Linked DNA regions of Caenorhabditis elegans. The protein of the gene in region 3 purifies or fractionates together with the protein of the main gene of each other region. This does not show direct contact. Each region holds a gene or a part of one and is shown on either strand. Other genes may lie near its edges. The genes, in order: ain-1, car-1 and cgh-1.

Region 1 (3,753 bases), on a different chromosome or scaffold from region 3:
TTCCGGGCTCATTGAGTGGAATTGTTCCTCCCTGCACCCACGATCCAGTGGTGTTGTCACTGGAGAATGTTGAAGTGTGCTGATTCGGAAGATACCATGGATTTTGCTCAGTTGTCAAGTCGTTCCATCTGTTGTTCTCGTCGAATATCGTCGACTCGCTCTTGGACGGATTGTTTGGATCATTTTCTGGAAGCTCTCCCCATCCGGTCACAACAATTGGCCGTTTCGCTGGTACTGGGAATGGGAAACGTTGATTGTCCTCTCCCTGAGACATGAAGTTCAATTTAATACCTAAGACAACAATATTACCTTTTTCTGTGGTACTGGACATCGGTTCAATGCAGTTTCCAAATCCTCATCGGCACCTTCGCCAACAATCCACAAGCTAATGGTACGGTCAGCTGCAAAAATAGTCGATAATAGGTGATTTCTATAGCAACACATTTAGACTAATTTCAGTTTTTCATGAAACAATGGAGAATTTCATTCAATTCCCACCAAGGAAATATTTTTTTAAAAAACTCACTTTGCTTCTCCGGGTCTCCCCAATAGGACACTCCAGTATCTCTCTGCCATTTCTTGAGTTCTCCGTTTGGATCATGCCAAACAGTCAGTGTGAGATCATCAGCAGCTCCGCCGATTGGGAATGGATTGTTGTACTGCTGGTCTCCTCCCATGAACTGCTGCATGCTTCCACCACTTCCATTGTTTCCGGTGCTGTTCCACATATTGGATCCTCCGCCACTCTGGCTTCCACTGTGTCCCATTCCACCACGGTTGTTGTAGTTTCTTTGACCGCCGTGGCCTCCTTGACCTCCACCAGCATTGTTATTCTTCCATGATCCGTGTCCACTATTCGGAGCAACACCCATATTTCTCATTCCACCCATACCACCTCCCATGTGCATATCCATCGGTGGTGGAACTGAAACGTCAACACCGCCACCCATATTGCCAGAGTACCGTCCCTGGTTGTGGTTTGGACGACCGTTTCGGGGCGGCATGCCTGACATTCCACGATTGCTGTCCTGCCCCCATGGACGGTTCATCTGCTTGTTGCCACCCATGTTATTCGGGCCACCCCATCCCCCTTGGTAGTCTTGCTGCTGCTGCATCATTGGCCCACTACGTTGTCCTTGTCCTGGTGGTCCATGTCTCATGCCTGTATTCCAGGCTCCCTGCAGCAATGGCATCGGGTATTGCTGATGCTGTTGAGGCTGTTGCTGTTTCCAAAAGTCATCAGATTCTTTTCCCATTCCTCCGTTACTCCAAACCGGGTGCGCTGGCTGAGACCCTATGGACCAAGGCGCAGATTGACCTCCAAGACTATTCAATTCACCGAACGCTGAAAATTTATAGATTTAAATTTATAAATATAACGTCTAATCAAATTTGAACTTACAGGCATGTGGTTGAAGTGGATACTGCACATCGCTCAATGGTGGATCACCCCATATCTGTTTCTCATAATCTGTATTCTGAATGCCACCCCATTGGCTTTGACTTGATGAGCCTGTGCCACTGAGTCCAACAAGGGCTTCGTTGACATTTGGCTCTGAAACAATTTTTACGTCATCAAGATTACAATTGCCAATTACCGATATCGTTCGATTCCTGTTGCCATGGCGATCTGTTTGGGAACTGTGGCTGCGGTACCGGCGGAGCCCAGACACGTTGCTGCTGGAGACCGTTGTTTCCCCATACAGGCTGTTGGTCGTTAGGATGCCACGCTGCGTCGTCTATTGAAATGTTGTTGAAGTTTTTTGCGAGACTCTCCATGGTTGCGTTGATCGCGCTCTGGCGATCAGAGTTTGAGCTTATCTGTAAAAAATGGAATATTATTGATTGATGAGTTTTGGCGAGAGCGTGATGGTAAATGATAGATGACAAGAGAAAACAAAGAAACTGATAGACTGATTGATAACACTATTTGATTTCGACATGGGTACATTGGTCGAACAACATTAGCCGCGTAACGAGCAGGATTTCATGAAGGCAATTGAAAATTTTACGGACCAGGAGTATCAGCTTAATAGAAATTTTATAAAAAATGATCTAAAGCCATTCAAACAGTATTGAGCAAAATTATGTTTTACAAGATCATTGTCAAAGTTAGAAAGCATAAACTATTAATTAATGCAATACTGCTAGATAGAAACAAGTTCAGTGTAAAAAGCGTTCTCCTGTAAAAAGGTAAACATTAAAAAATTTAATAAGTTTTGTACAACCTACATAACTACTGTTGTAAAGAAAGGCCCCAAAAGCCCCCGGGGCGCTGCTGGCTAGGTGGGAACTAGGCGGACAAGGGGTTAAGGAAAAAGCAGGAAAGAGAGAAAGGAGAAGGAAAAAGCAGAAGAAGGAGAGAGACTAGTTAGAAGAGGGGTCTGGTGCTTCGCAGGCTGGTTGGCTGGGCTGCTGCTGCTGCTGCTGCTGCTGCTGCTGGCTACCCCGATCGAGGGCGAGAAGGCGACCGGCGACGACATTGCGCGTTTCTCTCCCTGTCTGTCTCTCTCCATCTCATAGTGAGAGGCCAACATCAAATTGCTTGCCGGGCGAGAGACGCAGCGGAAACTCCCCGTCTTTCCACTTTTTCCTCGCTTCACTACTACTAACCCCCGTGAGTCTGTCCGCTCACGCTTCACTCATCAGACCACCCTCCCGCACTCTCGCTCTCTCTTTTTCTTTCACGAATCAATGAGACCGCTGTGTGTATGTGTGTGTGTGTGCAGAGAGAAGAAGGAACGTAGGGTCAACTGAGAGGGTTTCATGTCGTGTAGAGACGGAGAAACCGCACCGCCGCACACTCACGCGCTCATGCGCTCACCACCGCACTCATAGACACTCATCGACGTGCGCTCGACCACTCACCACCATTTCTCTTCATCTCTGGTGGTTCTCCCCGTATCTAACAGTATATACGTCTGTGTGGCCAGTTCTACACACACACACACATACACACACTACCAATATATTTTCGATATGTGGGATGGACGGGACACACGAGCGAAGATGGACGGGATGAACAGCGGGACGGGCGACATGCCAAACTTGAAACACTTTTTGGTTGGAAATAGATTCGGAGAGAAATTGATTAGGAACTTGTTAATTGAGGATACTAAGGATATTTAACAGAAATTCACCAATTTTCTGAAAATTTGACATTACAGTGGTTTTTCTCTGTTATGAAAAGTTGGCTATATCGTAACTTTTTGTACTTTGTGAAATATTTAAATTCAAACAGGAGATGATAAATCTAAAAAGGAAAAAGATGAAACATTATGTTGAAATTCTTAAGACAGTGTTCATTAATTTGACACGCCAAAACAGCCGAGGCTATCAATTTTTGGTGACTGAATTTTTTCGACCTTGTGTGCCGCCACCGCTCGGGAACCAGAAACTGTGAGTGCTAGACAGTTGAGGGTTTGTTTTCCTTCGCATCAAGTTCACGTGACCCGGTGAGGTGGAAGAGAATTGGGAATGAGAAATCTATACTGTTTTTCACACGGAGAAGAAAACATGAAGAGAAACTTTTGAATAACGAGAAAAATGTTTTTCTTTTTCAAAATTGAAAATAGAAGACAAAAAACAAACACGCTGAGAGAAAAGAGGCAATTAATAAAAGAAAAAACGACCAGTAGAAAAAGCAGGTGTTATTAGGCTCCGGGAGAGAGAAAGGGTCAAGCGGGAAGTGTTGGTAGTGTGGTCCAGCGCGGAACAAGATCGCGAATGCGTGTAGCAATTGGACAGATGGGT
Region 2 (3,753 bases), on a different chromosome or scaffold from region 3:
GCTGCTACTGGGTAGGCAACATTTTTATTTCCAACTTTTTTCGACTTTTTTTTGTTCCAATTCCGAGTGTTTCCCTGATTATCGATCGAAATCCCCCAGATATACGATTTATTGCAATTTCTTTAATTTTTTCTGCGTTCCTTCTCTTCTCCCCGTCACTGCTTTCGTATTATTATTACTGTTCCTATACATGATGAAATAAATATACACGTTTGATTGGGTTCTTTGCTTCCTTTTTTGGAAGTTTTTAGAACAACTGGCAAGAAAATGGCGAAGAATGTGCGAAATTTCGGATTCAAGTGGGCGAAAATTCGAAAATTTCGAATTTTTTGACAAAAGTCGAGAGTTCCGGAGTCATATGGCAGCCAATTAGGCGAAAAGTTCAATATTTTGCGGGAAATTCCCAAAAGCCGAATCCACAGGCCCAGCTTAGCGATACGATGATAATTCTCAAGTTTTTAACACATTCTTCCTGGAAAATAGATTTATACACGTATTATATTATAGAGAAAGCTGAAATCCTAAAAAGAAAGTAACAAAAAATATGAAAATTTTCGAATTATTCGCTCAAAGATCGCCCTTCCTTCCTCGGAATCTCGATCTCATGTCCACCAGTGATCGCTTGCAGTCGGTGAAATTTTGGAGAACGGCGAAACATTTGTCGGGTACACTTCCGTCGCCACGTGCATCGATGCATTCCTTCGCAGATCGAGCTTGAACTTGCACACAATGCGAGTTTTTGATGCATTTTTTGAGTGCTTGACGTAGACGATCACACGATACACCGGTCTTCTTTATCTCGTTGAATTCGTCTTCTTCAAATTGTTGGGATTGGGAGTGTGCGGTGATTCCGGCCATTTTTCGCGGGAGTTTGCCTGAAAAATCGAATAAAAATTGATTTTAGAAGATATAACTAGTTTTAAACAATAAAATTTAAGTAAATTTCAGTCTTTTTCACAATTTTATCACAAAAAAACGAGAAAATTCAATAAATTCGCACAAAAATTGATTTTATTTCATTTAAATTTTGAAAAATAATTAGTGTCGATTTACGGAGTTGGCACGGTGCCAAGATTTGCAGAATCGTGGCGAGACCCACAAAAACCTATAGCAAAACATGCGCCTTTAAATGGGATTGGGGTGCAGCGCCATTTTAGGATTTTTGTTGTTTTCTTCGCAAAATTGTTGATTTTTCGTTATTTTTTTTGATTTTCTAGGGAAATTTTCAATGTTTTATTGCTAAAATAATTATTTTTGACGTGATGAACTTAAAGTTACAGCTTAGAATCATTAAATTTTGCGAATTTTGATAGAAACTTCCCATTTTTTGTGATTTTCAAGTTTGAGCTTACCTTTTATTTCTTCTGCCGATTTTTAGCTGTTTGAGAAGTTCAATTAGTGAGTTTTCGGTTCTTAATACTCAAAATTATTTTTACTGCAATGGTACGGCCGTGGCTGCGCAGTACCTCATAAAATAAGTGGGCAGACGGATGCAATCACGCTCCATCGGCGCAGAATCGATAACGATGACGGCTTCGCATTTTACTTTTAAACTTTTGCAGCTTTTCCCACTTCTTATAAGAAATTAGGGCTTTAAACTGTCAGTGTTATCCTTGTATATTATCGTTGATGTTCCTCTAAGACTTATTGACACCTCCGTATCGATTTTAGGCCAATTAGGTTAATTTCTAAGGTTTCTCGACACAATTGAGATCGCTTCGACATTTTTCGTAGTATTCCGCAAGATTTTGTTTTAGGATTGATAGAAGCGCACATTTACACGGTTTCAGTTGTTAATTTATTCTCCTATTCCCGACAATATTGCTCTTCGTCTTTCTTCAAACGTTGTGAAACTTAAATTATATTACATTTTTGCAGGTAATAATGTCGAATCAAACACCGTACATCGGAAGCAAGATTAGTCTGATCTCCAAGCTCGACATCCGTTACGAGGGAATCCTCTACACCGTCGACACCAACGACTCTACCATCGCGTTGGCCAAGGTTCGCTCGTTCGGAACCGAGAAGCGTCCAACTGCTAATCCGGTCGCCGCTCGTGATGATGTCTACGAGTACATCATCTTCAAGGCCAGCGACATCAAGGATTTGATCGTTTGTGATACTCCGAAGGCGAGTTGCCGGATAATCGAGCTTCATTGATCTAAATAATGTCTTTTCAGATGGCCAACATTGGAGGAGGGCTTCCATACGATCCAGCCATCATCTCTGTCTCCTCGAGATCAGCCCCAGCAAGTGACGGAGCTCCAGCTGCCTCTGCAGGTTCTTCCAGAGCCGGAACGCCATCCCGTAACAGTCCGTTAGGCCAAATCATCCAAAATCAACGTCCAGGACGTGGAGGTTATCAGCAAAGTCAGTTTTATTTTCTTTCAAATCAACTCTGGATTTATGATCATGTTTTCAGACTTCCAAGCTAACCGTGGATACAACAACTACCGCGGAGGATTCGCTGGCGGATACAACAACCAAAGAGGGCACAACAATTATGGAGTTCCTCGAGTTAATCACCGCGAAAAGCTGAAGTTCGAATCGGACTTTGACTTCGAGAAGGCCAATGAGAAGTTCCAAGAAGTTCTCGTCGACAACCTTGAGAAGCTCAACATTGAGGATAAGGCCGAGCCAGAAGTTGAGGAGAAGAAGGATGCTGCCTTCTACGACAAGAAGACTTCATTCTTTGACAACATCAGCTGTGAATCACTGGAGAAAGCCGAAGGAAAGACTGGACGGCCAGATTGGAAGAAGGAGAGAGAAACGAATCAGGAGACGTTCGGACACAACGCAGTGCGTTCGTTGAACTACCGTCGTGGATTCGGAGGACGAGGACGTGGTGGAAACCGCGGATATGGAGGTATAGTTCCACTTTAGAAGTTACAACGTCTTATGCTCAATTTTCAGGTTACAACAACGGATACCAGCATCAACACCAGCACCGTGGAGGATACAATGGAGGTTATCGTCAGAACAACGGTGGATACCGTCGTGGTGGATATGCTCCACGTGACAACCAAGGCAATACTGCCGCAGCTGCCGAACAATAAGTTCGAATTCCCTGAAATTGTTTTCTCCCCACATCCCCATACCCCGATATTAGCCGTTTGTTAATTTATTATGTAAGTTTATCCATTCTCCCCCCCCCCCCATCAATGATTACCCTTGTCTCTTCTCAACTATTGGCGTGTTATAAGAAACCCGTTAATTATTTAGAAATCTCGTACGATTCAATGCGGGCCTTCTGTTATTTTGTAATAATTATTGCGCACCCACCCACCGACACACATCTCCCATCCAAAAAATTCCCAATGTTTTTTCTTCCCCCACTACAATAGTGATTGGACCCTTCCCCCGTTTTTTTAAGTTCTAGCTTGTGAATTTTAAAGCATGTCGTTCTGTTGTCCTCAGTTTGTCATTTTAATAAAATTGCAGTGACTAAACTGTCAAATCGTTTGCACCTGCTCTCCTATCATCCCACACCCCGCCTTTTATGATTGTCTTCTAGGAGATATGAAATTGTTTTTAAGATCTTCTCTTAGATTTGCTATAATATTGCAAACCCTTCATTCTTAGGTAGACAAGCCCTGAGAAATTGTGATTTCCCCGTATAAACTTTTTGTTTTGTATCATTGCTTCGATGTTTTCTTTCTACAACTTGGAAGCCAGTTGGACATGTAAGGTGTCAAAAAATATTGGTATAAGTTTGCTGTAATTTCAAAAAGTTCGATAGTTGTTCTGGCGACT
Region 3 (3,753 bases):
GACGAGATCACTAGAATGGAAAAAAAAAACGTAGGCGACCAGTGTGTTTTGGAGGTTTGGGGATATGAGAACTAGTGTTTAAGCAGTGGTCTCATCGGCGGCATCGACGAGCTGCTGGTCAGCGACATACAGCTTCGGGTCAACCGTTTTCGGGATGGGCTCAATGCGAGTACGAAGCTCCTGCTCGATACGGCGAAGGGTGTGACGGTCTTCGTAGGTGATAAGGTTGATTGCAACTCCGAGGTGACCGAAACGTCCAGAGCGACCGATTCTGTGAAGGTAAGTCTCGGCGTTTCTTGGGAAGTCAAAGTTGATGACAACATTGACAGCCTGGATATCGATACCTGAAAAATTACAATTATGCATGAACTACACTTTAAAATAAGAAAAATGGCGCTCAGATATCCGTTCTTCAATTATCTCTTCACATAACTTCAGAGTGTGTGTATGTGTTATCAATCCTCATCGCGCAAATTATTTAGTCAAACTTACCACGGGTGAGAAGATCGGAGCAAACCAAGTTTCTGCAGTTTCCTTGACGGAAGTCATGGAAGACACGGTTTCTGTGATTCTGAGCCATCTTGGAATGAATGTAGTAGCACGAGTAACCGATTTCCGTGATTTTCTTAGCGAGAAGCTCAACACGTTGAGTAGAGTTACAGAAGATGATCGACTGGTTGATTTGAAGTTTTCGGAACAACGTATTCAAACAGTGGACCTTTTGCTTCTCTTGAACAAAGGCATAGTATTGGGTGACACCAAGAAGAGTAAGCTCCTCCATGAGGTTGATCTCATACGGCTTGTGCATGTGCTTCTGCATGAACGAAGTGACGGTGTTAGGGAAAGTGGCAGAATAAAGCATAACTTGACGCTCCTTTGGGAGGAAGTTGATGAGGCGGTCGAGAATTCCCTGTAAACGAGAATTGTTATCTTATTCAAATGTTAATTTTTTTACCTGGAAGTCTTGACTAAGAAGTTTGTCAGCCTCGTCAAGAACAAGTGTTTTACAATGTTCCATTTTGGCGACTCCTTTCTCCATAAGATCGAGAATTCTTCCTGGGGTGGCGATGACCAAGTGAACCGTTCCGTTTAGACGCATGATATCATCACGGAGATCAGTTCCTCCGGTAGTGACCATAACTTTGAGCTGAATGTGTTTGGAGAGCTCCACGCAGATCTGTGAAGTTTGGAGAGCCAATTCACGAGTTGGGACAATGACCATGGCTTGAATAGCTTTGAGGGCTGGCTGGATCTTCTCGATAACAGGGATACAATAAGCTCCGGTTTTTCCTGTTCCGTTCTTAGCTCTTGCGAGAATATCTTGACCAGTGAGAGCGACTCCGATGGATGCTTCTTGAATAGGACTCGGTTTTTCCCATCCTTTCTCAAAAATCCCCATGAGAAGATCGCGTCCAAGGCAGAAATCCTCAAACTCGACTCCCTTCGTATCAGTGACATCCTGAAAAATGAAATGGTCACAAAGTCATATAGGCTTTGCAAACTCACAGCAGTTTTGAATCTTCTGTCTTTTGCTGGAAGATTGAGACCAGCCTTCCAGTTTTCGTCGCCATTGTTGGCAGGAACGATCTGTTGTTGCTCCGCTCCACTCATTTTCCGATGTCGTAGTAGGTTTGATTTCCTGATGAGATCTGTAAAATCGAGATTAAAGTTGAGAAGTTGTTAATGGTGTAAGTTGAGAAGTTGTTAATGAAGGAAGATAAGTTTTTAATGCGAAAAAATGATACCTATCGAGTTTACTACAATTTTGTTAGTCATGGAAAAATCATTCAAGCATTTTCAGAACAATTAGGAGGAACGCTAAATAACACTGAGATAATATTTATGCGAGACAACCGGTGTCTGTCTCGCGCTCGTATACACACGATCAATGACGGTTAGAAAAAGCAAGCGAGTGGTCGGCGGCGCATAGAGACGCACAGACACTCTTTGGGTTGCTGGAGTATCTAGCCAACAGGGTAGCCGATGTTTGACGACGTGGCAATTGACAAGAAACAATTTCAAAAGGTCAGAGAATCACGACAATTTTTTATTGATACCTTCCAGTTTTTAAGCGACTCTCCAAACAATAAACGCGAAAAAGTTTATATTTTACATTCGAAAGTTTGAAAGAACACTTTTTGTTATCGTTTTTTAAAACAGGTTTCTGAGCTACGAAACTGATAAAAATCTTCGGAAAACGACTGAATCTATCAAGAAAGTGTCGATAACAGATTGGAGCTGCCATCGTCGCCTAAAACTCTTAGAAATCTAGAGAAGAAACACAGAAACACGTGGAGAACAACGGCCAAAATGAAGGAAATGTGCGAAGAAACGAGAGTGTGGAGAGAAAAACTGTGAGAGCGACGGGACGAGTAGGCCAAGCTGCTGCGAGCGACGAGTGAGAGGCATTTCGCTGCGTACATTCAACACACAAAAGTTGAATACTCAGCCAACGCGCGAAACAAAATGGCGGTAATTCAAAATTAGATTTCAATGAAAAACTTTACGAAGATTTGATGCGAAATTTCTTGAGAATAATAATGAATTAAATATTAAAAAGAATATACCAGCGTCGATGAAAATTTATTAAAGGATAATTAGTTCTAAATGTAATGAGTAATGTGATTACTTTATCGTTTTTCGATTTCCTCATTTTTCTAATTCGAACTCCTCATATTCAACCAGAAATCTGTGATATGCGTCACATCTAGCTCCGTGATGGCAGTATACGATGAATATAAGAAACCGACACGGTTGGATAACACAATTGAAATACGCCAAATCCACAATAGGCAATATTTTCGAGCTGCCAACAAAATAAATTGTTCCGAAACAGGACACATCCACCACCATTTTTATAAACTGAAAATCTTAATTGAAAACAGGAGTCAAAAGAAACGTTACATTTGTGGTAATCGTAATAACATTGAGACGTTGGACTCCATTGTATGATATAAAATATATAACTATCAAAATGCTTGTTAGAAAAAATAACGAAAATTGAATGTAAACAAGTGACAGATACACGAACGACTCTGTCTTCATATCTGCAATTTTAGTTGTTATATTTTTCCACTTTTTATTTTCTTACAGAAATAAGCAGATCCAAGATAAACCGATTGGTACCAAGTTTGTAAAGCTTCTAGGCAAATCATGTTTATAGCAATAGGACTCCAAGATCCCTTAAAATTATTTATAAAGGCAGAAACATTACAGATAACAAACTTGATCGAGATTGAATAACGGCGGAGGAGATAGACTCATAATTCTTATATGCAAATTATTTAAAAATGGTTTGTTATTTTATTTATGAATTATATGATTTGAACGTTAAATGTTAATAATAATATGAAATTGCGTGTAACTCATGAATTGAAATTAATTACGTTATTATTTTGTTCTTTCTTTTTTCAAAAATAAAATGTTTCCTTACTTAAAAGTCGCGCCGAGATCCGAAAACACGCCAAAGTGGTTGCTGGCGCGTTTCATCATAATTGCTGACGCATTGTCAGTGCCTGGTCCATTTACTGGGAAAAATCTAACATTTTAAATTATTTCCCGGGAAATTTCCCCGCAATATGAGTATGGAATGGTCCAAAAAGAGAAAGAAAGTAAGTTTCCTTGTCAACTTCTAAGTGTCACAAGCTTTAATAATACCGATTTAAAAGTTTAGACATCTGACGATGAGGAGGCGAAGTTGAACGATGCTTTGTTGGAGTTCCAAGCAGACTTTGGACAATCTTCGTCTGTTTC

The links.
Region 1: the proteins of cgh-1 (region 3) and ain-1 purify together in Caenorhabditis elegans (affinity purification with western blotting, with the first as the bait; one study listed by BioGRID). This does not show direct contact.
Region 2: the proteins of cgh-1 (region 3) and car-1 purify together in Caenorhabditis elegans (affinity purification with mass spectrometry; 3 studies listed by BioGRID, with this or other methods). This does not show direct contact.

Annotation. Positions count from the first base shown.
Region 1 is NC_003284.9:16,611,519-16,615,271, reverse strand, and holds the start of ain-1 (ALG-1 INteracting protein), read right to left. Parts: upstream 1,822-3,753; 5' UTR 1,780-1,821; coding exon 1,599-1,779; intron 1,556-1,598; coding exon 1,403-1,555; intron 1,346-1,402; coding exon 527-1,345; intron 402-526; coding exon 310-401; intron 266-309; coding exon 1-265.
Region 2 is NC_003279.8:12,902,592-12,906,344, forward strand, and holds car-1 (Protein LSM14 homolog car-1), read left to right. Parts: upstream 1-1,878; 5' UTR 1,879-1,884; coding exon 1,885-2,130; intron 2,131-2,180; coding exon 2,181-2,370; intron 2,371-2,422; coding exon 2,423-2,866; intron 2,867-2,913; coding exon 2,914-3,056; 3' UTR 3,057-3,449; downstream 3,450-3,753. Other genes in the region: coa-5 (Cytochrome c oxidase assembly factor 5), read right to left, coding at 568-858. UniProt on the Caenorhabditis elegans protein: Transcriptional regulator. Involved in modulating embryonic expression of ATP-dependent chaperone cdc-48.1. May play a role in mRNA gene silencing, and RNA granule (P-body) assembly.
Region 3 is NC_003281.10:7,496,184-7,499,936, forward strand, and holds the start of cgh-1 (ATP-dependent RNA helicase cgh-1), read right to left. Parts: upstream 1,650-3,753; 5' UTR 1,612-1,649; coding exon 1,507-1,611; intron 1,460-1,506; coding exon 956-1,459; intron 911-955; coding exon 493-910; intron 472-492; exon of another isoform or gene 394-471; intron 345-393; coding exon 79-344; 3' UTR 1-78. Other genes in the region: C07H6.9 (Serpentine Receptor, class Z), read right to left, coding at 2,650-2,862, 2,905-3,047, 3,092-3,182, 3,226-3,264; sap-140 (U2 snRNP-associated SURP motif-containing protein), read left to right, coding at 3,579-3,611, 3,674-3,753. UniProt on the Caenorhabditis elegans protein: Probable RNA helicase required for oocyte and sperm function. Also required to prevent the physiological germline apoptosis mechanism killing essentially all developing oocytes.